Linked DNA regions of Xenopus tropicalis. The protein of the gene in region 2 purifies or fractionates together with the protein of the main gene of each other region. This does not show direct contact. Links are inferred from orthologs where the notes say so. Each region holds a gene or a part of one and is shown on either strand. Other genes may lie near its edges.

What was found.
Region 1: the proteins of rab5c (region 2) and gdi1 purify together in Homo sapiens (affinity purification with mass spectrometry; 3 studies listed by BioGRID and IntAct, counting the BioPlex papers as one, with this or other methods). This does not show direct contact. The link is inferred for Xenopus tropicalis from reciprocal best matches to the Homo sapiens genes RAB5C and GDI1.

The regions. Positions count from the first base shown.
Region 1 is NC_030684.2:141,910-146,500, forward strand, and holds the start of gdi1 (rab GDP dissociation inhibitor alpha), read left to right. Parts: upstream 1-1,687; 5' UTR 1,688-1,781; coding exon 1,782-1,826; intron 1,827-4,591. UniProt on the Homo sapiens protein: Regulates the GDP/GTP exchange reaction of most Rab proteins by inhibiting the dissociation of GDP from them, and the subsequent binding of GTP to them. Promotes the dissociation of GDP-bound Rab proteins from the membrane and inhibits their activation.
Region 2 is NC_030686.2:6,896,590-6,900,970, reverse strand, and holds the start of rab5c (ras-related protein Rab-5C), read right to left. Parts: upstream 2,808-4,381; 5' UTR 2,691-2,807; coding exon 2,525-2,690; intron 1-2,524. UniProt on the Homo sapiens protein: The small GTPases Rab are key regulators of intracellular membrane trafficking, from the formation of transport vesicles to their fusion with membranes.

The DNA.
Region 1 (4,591 bases), on a different chromosome or scaffold from region 2:
AACAGGCAGGACTCTCAGTGAGAGCAGGGTAATTGGGCAGATAGCAGACAGGACACCCAATGAGAAGGGGTAATTGGGCAGATAGCAGACAGGACACCCAATGAGAGGGGGGTAATTGGGTAGATAACAGGCAGGACTCCCAATGAGAGAGGGGTAATTGGGTAGACAACAGGCAGGACTCTCAGTGAGAGCAGGGTAATTGGGCAGATAGCAGACAGGACACCCAATGAGAAGGGGTAATTGGGCAGATAGCAGACAGGACACCCAATGAGAGAGGTGTAATTGGGTAGACAACAGGCAGGACTCTCAGTGAGAGCAGGGTAATTGGGAAGATAGCAGACAGGACACCCAATGAGAAGGGGTAATTGGGCAGATAGCAGACAGGACACCCAATGAGAAGGGGTAATTGGATAGATAACAGACAGGACTCCCAATGAGAGAGGGGTAATTGGATAGACAACAGGCAGAACTCTCAGTGAGAGCAGGGTAATTGGGCAGATAGCAGACAGGACACCCAATGAGAAGGGGTAATTGGGCAGATAGCAGACAGGACACCCAATGAGAAGGGGTAATTGGGTAGATAACAGGCAGGACACCCAATGAAAGAGGGGTAATTGGGCAGATAACAGGCAGGACACCCAATGAGAGAGGGGCAATTGGGTAGATAACAGGCAGGACTCCCAAAGAGAAGGGGTAATTGGGTAGATAACAGGCAGGACTCCCAATGAGAGAGGGGTAATTGGGCAGATAACAGGCAGGACTCCCAATGAGAGAGGGGTAATTGGGCAGATAACAGGCAGGACTCCCAATGAAAGGGGGGTAATTGGGCAGATAACAGACAGGACTCCCAATGAGAGAGGGGTAATTGGGCAGATAACAGACAGGACACCCAATGAGAGAGGGGTAATTGGGCAGATAACAGGCAGGACTCCCAATGAGAGAGGGGTAATTGGGCAGATAACAGGCAGGACACCCAATGAGAGAGGGGTAATTGGGCAGATAACAGGCAGGACTCCCAATGAGAGAGGGGTAATTGAGCAGATAACAGGCAGGACACCCAATGAGAGAGGGGTAATTGGGCAGATAACAGGCAGGACTCCCAATGAAAGGGGGGTAATTGGGCAGATAACAGGCAGGACTCCCAATGAGAGAGGGGTAATTGGGCAGATAACAGGCAGGACTCCCAATGAGAGGGGGGTAATTGGGCAGATAACAGACAGGACTCCCAATGAGAGAGGGGTAATTGGGCAGATAACAGACAGGACACCCAATGAGAGAGGGGTAATTGGGCAGATAACAGGCAGGACTCCCAATGAGAGAGGGGTAATTGGGCAGATAACAGGCAGGACACCCAATGAGAGAGGGGTAATTGGGCAGATAACAGGCAGGACACCCAATGAGAGAGGGGCTATTACACAGATAACAGCCAGTGCCCCACCCTCCCATCTTTAGCCCCCCCAGTATCCCTTGCTGGGAAGATGCAGACGCGGAAGGATCTATTTTCACAGCCGCATAACTAAGGTCACACGCCCTCTTCCTTATTGTCCCTCTGTGGTGTCTGTGGGCCCCGCATGGGGGGCTGTTAGGGACTAAGTGAGACGGTGCCCGGCAGTGCAGCTCGGTACTAGCGATACTGGCTGTTGGGGGCCGTAGGGTGGGGCAGGGGGTGGGGTTAGAGGAAGGAACTATTTGCTGGCGCGGAAGGAGACAGGGCGGTGAAGCTGTTCCTCCATCTTTGGTCCAGCTCAGCTTCCAGCTCCGCACTCTCCCCTCACGGCGCGATGGATGAGGAGTACGATGTGATCGTGTTGGGTACCGGCCTGACGGTGAGTGGCCATGGGGGCCTGGCTGGGTACTGGGGGGTCCTACTCGCTCTTTTATTCTGGGGCCCCAGGAAAGGCTTCAGGGGGCAGTTACACGGGCTGGAGTGGGTAGTGCCTGGGGCAATTACTGTTATAGGCCTAGTAATGCCCTATGGGTATGGGGGCAGGGCCCCTCACTGTCAGCTGGGGGCATTGATGGGATGTATGGGGGCACTGACATGTACTGGGGGGAAATAACATGAATACAGGGCCGTGCCACTCTCTGGTACAGGCTGGGGGCACTGACACGTACTGGGGGGAAATAACATGAATACAGGGCCGTGCCACTCTCTGGTACAGGCTGGGGGCACTGACATGTACTGGGGGGAAATAACATGAATACAGGGCCGTGCCACTCTCTGGTACAGGCTGGGGGCACTGACACGTACTGGGGGAAATAACAGGAATACAGGGCCGTGCCACTCTCTGGTACAGGCTGGGGGCACCGACATGTACTGGGGGGAAATAACAGGAATACAGGGCCGTGCCACTCTCTGGTACAGGCTGGGGGCACTGACATGTACTGGGGGGGAAATAACATGAATACAGGGCCGTGCCACTCTCTGGTACAGGCTGGGGGCACCGACATGTACTGGGGGGAAATAACAGGAATACAGGGCCGTGCCACTCGCTGGTACAGGCTGGGGGCACTGACATGTACTGGGGGAAATAACATGAATACAGGGCTGTGCCCACTCTCTGGTACAGGCTGGGGGCACTGACATGTACTGGGGGGAAATAACATGAATACAGGGCCGTGCCACTCTCTGGTACAGGCTGGGGGCACCGACATGTACTGGGGGGAAATAACATGAATACAGGGCCGTGCCACTCTCTGGTACAGGCTGGGGGCACCGACATGTACTGGGGGGAAATAACAGGAATACAGGGCCGTGCCACTCTCTGGTACAGGCTGGGGGCACCGACATGTACTGGGGGGAAATAACATGAATACAGGGCCGTGCCACTCGCTGGTACAGGCTGGGGGCACTGACATGTACTGGGGGGAAATAACATGAATACAGGGCCGTGCCACTCTCTGGTACAGGCTGGGGGCACCGACATGTACTGGGGGGAAATAACATGAATACAGGGCCGTGCCACTCGCTGGTACAGGCTGGGGGCACTGACATGTACTGGGGGGAAATAACAGGAATACAGGGCCGTGCCACTCTCTGGTACAGGCTGGGGGCACTGACATGTACTGGGGGAAATAACATGAATACAGGGCCGTGCCACTCTCTGGTACAGGCTGGGGGCACTGACATGTACTGGGGGGAAATAACATGAATACAGGGCCGTGCCACTCTCTGGTACAGGCTGGGGGCACTGACATGTACTGGGGGGAAATAACAGGAATACAGGGCCGTGCCACTCTCTGGTACAGGCTGGGGGCACTGACATGTACTGGGGGGAAATAACAGGAATACAGGGCCGTGCCACTCTCTGGTACAGGCTGGGGGCACTGACATGTACTGGGGAGAAATAACAGGAATACAGGGCCGTGCCACTCTCTGGTACAGGCTGGGGGAACTGACATGTACTGGGGGGAAATAACATGAATACAGGGCCGTGCCACTCGCTGGTACAGGCTGGGGGCACTGACATGTACTGGGGAGAAATAACAGGAATACAGGGCCGTGCCACTCTCTGGTACAGGCTGGGGGCACCGACATGTACTGGGGGGAAATAACATGAATACAGGGCCGTGCCACTCGCTGGTACAGGCTGGGGGCACTGACATGTACTGGGGGGAAATAACATGAATACAGGGCCGTGCCACTCGCTGGTACAGGCTGGGGGCACTGACATGTACTGGGGGAAATAACAGGAATACAGGGCCGTGCCACTCTCTGGTACAGGCTGGGGGCACTGACATGTACTGGGGGGAAATAACAGGAATACAGGGCCGTGCCACTCTCTGGTACAGGCTGGGGGCACTGACATGTACTGGGGAGAAATAACAGGAATACAGGGCCGTGCCACTCGCTGGTACAGGCTGGGGGCACTGACATGTACTGGGGGGAAATAACATGAATACAGGGCCGTGCCACTCGCTGGTACAGGCTGGGGGCACCGACATGTACTGGGGGAAATAACATGAATACAGGGCCGTGCCACTCTCTGGTACAGGCTGGGGGCACCGACATGTACTGGGGGGAAATAACATGAATACAGGGCCGTGCCACTCTCTGGTACAGGCTGGGGGCACTGACATGTACTGGGGGGAAATAACAGGAATACAGGGCCGTGCCACTCGCTGGTACAGGCTGGGGGCACTGACATGTACTGGGGGGAAATAACAGGAATACAGGGCCGTGCCACTCTCTGGTACAGGCTGGGGGCACTGACATGTACTGGGGGGAAATAACAGGAATACAGGGCCGTGCCACTCTCTGGTACAGGCTGGGGGCACTGACATGTACTGGGGGGAAATAACAGGAATACAGGGCCGTGCCACTCTCTGGTACAGGCTGGGGGCACTGACATGTACTGGGGGGAAATAACAGGAATACAGGGCCGTGCCACTCTCTGGTACAGGCTGGGGGCACTGACATGTACTGGGGGAAATAACAGGAATACAGGGCCGTGCCACACTCTGGTACAGGCTGGGGGCACTGACATGTACTGGGGGGAAATAACAGGAATACAGGGCCGTGCCACTCTCTGGTACAGGCTGGGGGCACTGACATGTACTGGGGGGAAAATAACAGGAATACAGGGCCGTG
Region 2 (4,381 bases):
GGTTTCTGTAGCAAACACCCCAGCTGTACCAGTGCAGGAACGGCTGCCCCCGGGGCTACACAGCGGGGTATTTATATAAACTATAGTAGGGTTTCTGTAGCAAACACCCCAGCTGTACCAGTGCAGGAATGGCTGCCCCCGGGGGTACACAGCGGGGTATTTATATAAACTATAGTAGGGTTTCTGTAGCAAACACCCCAGCTGTACCAGTGCAGGAATGGCTGCCCCCGGGGCTACACAGCGGGGTATTTATATAAACTATAGTAGGGTTTCTGTAGCAAACACCCCAGCTGTACCAGTGCAGGAATGGCTGCCCCCGGGGCTACACAGCGGGGTATTTATATAAACTATAGTAGGGTTTCTGTAGCAAACACCCCAGCTGTACCAGTGCAGGAACGGCTGCCCCCGGGGCTACACAGCGGGGTATTTATATAAACTATAGTAGGGTTTCTGTAGCAAACACCCCAGCTGTACCAGTGCAGGAATGGCTGCCCCCGGGACACCCCAGCTGTACCAGTGCAGGAACGGCTGCCCCCGGGACACCCCAGCTGTACCAGTGCAGGAACGGCTGCCCCCGGGACACCCCAGCTGTACCAGTGCAGGAACGGCTGCCCCCAGGGCTACACAGCGGGGTATTTATATAAACTATAGTAGGGTTTCTGTAGCAAACACCCCAGCTGTACCAGTGCAGGAACGGCTGCCCCCGGGGCTACACAGCGGGGTATTTATATAAACTATAGTAGGGTTTCTGTAGCAAACACCCCAGCTGTACCAGTGCAGGAATGGCTGCCCCCGGGGCTACACAGCGGGGTATTTATATAAACTATAGTAGGGTTTCTGTAGCAAACACCTCAGCTGTACCAGTGCAGGAATGGCTGCCCCCGGAGCTACACAGCGGGGTATTTATATAAACTATAGTAGGGTTTCTGTAGCAAACACCCCAGCTGTACCAGTGCAGGAATGGCTGCCCCCGGGGCTACACAGCGGGGTATTTATATAAACTATAGTAGGGTTTCTGTAGCAAATACCCCAGCTGTACCAGTGCAGGAATGGCTGCCCCCGGGGCTACACAGCGGGGTATTTATATAAACTATAGTAGGGTAAAAGAACAAGGACACAGGATGACCAAGTGACCATGGTAGAGACTTACTTTAACTGAGAAGGGCTGAGCCTGATGAATGTGGCTTATATTCAAACTGAAGCTCAAAGCTAGCCATACACTGGCCTACACTGGCTACTGACCTGGCCACTCCAGAATAAGTCTTACTGGCCCAAGTATGGGGGAAAATGCCATCTTTCCTGTACAAATGCTTGATCAGGTATTGGTCAGAAAGCTTTGAAAATCCTGCCCAATTAGGGAATTATTGCAGTGGGATATTGATGTGGTCATGTGCCTGTCAGGTCTGCAAAGACCCAAATTATCATCCCATTATTAGGATCATCATTTGTGTCTATTTTCAGAGGCCAAATCGTGCAATTTATGGTACATCTAACAAGCAGATCATTTGGCAAGCGTGTTATTTTCACATAGAAAAGAAAATGAGTATAGGATCTGTTTTCTGGAACCCTTTTATCCAGAATGCTCCAAATTACAGGAAGGCCATCTCCCAAATAATTCTACTTTTTAAAAATGATTCCCTTTTCTCTGTAATAATAAAACAGTACCTGTACTTGATCCCAACTAAGATATAATTACCCCTTATTGGGGGCAGAACAGCCCTATTGGGTTTATTTCATGGTTAAATGATTCCTTTTTCTCTGTAATAATAAAACAGTACCTGTACTTGATCCCAACTAAGATATAATTACCCCTTATTGGGGCAGAACAGCCCTATTGGGTTTATTTAATGGTTAAATGATTCCCTTTTCTCTGTAATAATAAAACAGTACCTGTACTTGATCCCAACTAAGATACAATTACCCCTTATTGGGGCAGAACAGCCCTATTGGGTTTATTTCATGGTTAAATGATTCCCTTTTCTCTGTAATAATAAAACAGTACCTGTACTTGATCCCAACTAAGATATAATTACCCCTTATTGGGGCAGAACAGCCCAATTGGGTTTATTTAATGGTTAAATGATTCCCTTTTCTCTGTAATAATAAAACAGTACCTGTACTTGATCCCAACTAAGATACAATTACCCCTTATTGGGGCAGAACAGCCCTATTGGGTTTATTTAATGGTTAAATGATTCCCTTTTCTCTGTAATAATAAAACAGTACCTGTACTTGATCCCAACTAAGATATAATTACCCCTTATTGGGGCAGAACAGCCCTATTGGGTTTATTTCATGGTTAAATGATTCCCTTTTCTCTGTAATAATAAAACAGTACCTGTACTTGATCCCAACTAAGATATAATTACCCCTTATTGGGGGCAGAACAGTCCTAGTGGGTTCTTTTCATGTTTAAATGATTTCCTTTGGAGATCCAAATTACAGAAAGATTCCTTATTGGGAAAAACCCAGGCCCCGAGCATGCTGGGTAACAGTTCCCACACCTGTATAACACATAACCTACCTCCAATTGTGCTTTCTTGGTACTCGTGAAACTGGCCCTTAACGAAGCGCAGGACCAAGCTGGACTTCCCCACTGCCGACTCCCCCAGTAAAACCAACTTGAACTGGCAGATCTTGTTGCCGGCCGCCGGACCATTGGGTCGAGCAGTTGTTCCTCGACTGGCCATTTCCCTTGAAGACACTTGGGCTGACAGACACTGCAGAAATGGCAGAAGGCAAGGCACAGGTGTGACCAGAAGGCGCAAAAGGTTTACACGGCTGGACACGTAGAATATACCGGCAGCCTTTGTAAGGAGAAGAGACAAAAAGAACAAAAGCTTTAGTGATGGAAATTGTTGCAGTTTTACGTTGCATTTTACTGGTGAAACAAGTTCTGTGGAGACTCGGAGACTCTTTACCCGTCAGTCACTACTTAATCTACTACTACTTACATCGTTACAATGTGGCCCCATTTAAATTCAATGGGAAAATAGGAAATCCAGGAAAGAAAACCAATGTAGTTTGCCTGTGTGTGACTGGGAATAACAAGCCCCCAGGCATTAATATAACGCTCTGCAGTAGCATTCGCCCGTGCCCAGTTCTCTCATTTGGCCAACAAACCCTACGCTAACATTTTCTTTTGATATTTTTAATTAAAAGAACTGAAACTAATTTTTTTTTTTACACATGACATTGTTATAGGTTAGAAAAGTTATTTCATGGAAATAAATGCACATTTCCAGATCACCGGATGGCAACTCCGTAGCTCTCTATACTGTTTTATTATTACAGAGAAAAGGGAATAATTTAACCATGAAATAAACCCAATAGGGCTGTTCTGCCCCAATAAGGGGTAATTATATCTTAGTTGGGATCAAGTACAGGTACTGTTTTATTATTACAGAGAAAAGGGAATCATTTAACCATTAAATAAACCCAATAGGGCTGTTCTGCCCCCAATAAGGGGTAATTATATCTTAGTTGGGATCAAGTACAGGTACTGTTTTATTATTACAGAGAAAAGGGAATCATTTAACCATTAAATAAACCCAATAGGGCTGTTCTGCCCCAATAAGGGGTAATTATATCTTAGTTGGGATCAAGTACAGGTACTGTTTTATTATTACAGAGAAAAGGGAATCATTTAACCATTAAATAAACCCAATAGGGCTGTTCTGCCCCCAATAAGGGGTAATTATATCTTAGTTGGGATCAAGTACAGGTACTGTTTTATTATTACAGAGAAAAGGGAATCATTTAAACATGAAATAAACCCAATAGGGCTGTTCTGCCCCAATAAGGGGTAATTATATCTTAGTTGGGATCAAGTACAGGTACTGTTTTATTATTACAGAGAAAAGGGAATCATTTAACCATGAAATAAACCCAATAGGGCTGTTCTGCCCCAATAAGGGGTAATTATATCTTAGTTGGGATCAAGTAAAGGTACTGTTTTATTATTACAGAGAAAAGGGAATCATTTTATAAAATGTGAATTATTTGATTAAAATGGAGTCTATGGGAGAAGCCTTTCCGTAATTCGGAACTTTCCGGATAAGGGGTGTGATACCGGTACACACATAGCAGTTACAAACACAACGCACTATATTTACACAACACTGCTTTTTCATATTATGGAACTTTCTATTGTTCCCAGGTTCTGTATACTTAAGGTTGGTGTGGATATTTGTTACTGGAATCATTTATCCCATGATATATTTGTGGCCAGGCCACGTGTAATCATTTAATGTCTGTTTGTTATTTATGATCAGCGACACTCTGACCCCACTGGGTATATATTTAACAAGGGGGTGTATTAGAATGTCCTCAAAGTGTCCCGGTGGTTCCTGTTCTAGATGGAGCAGAAATGCAGTCTCAG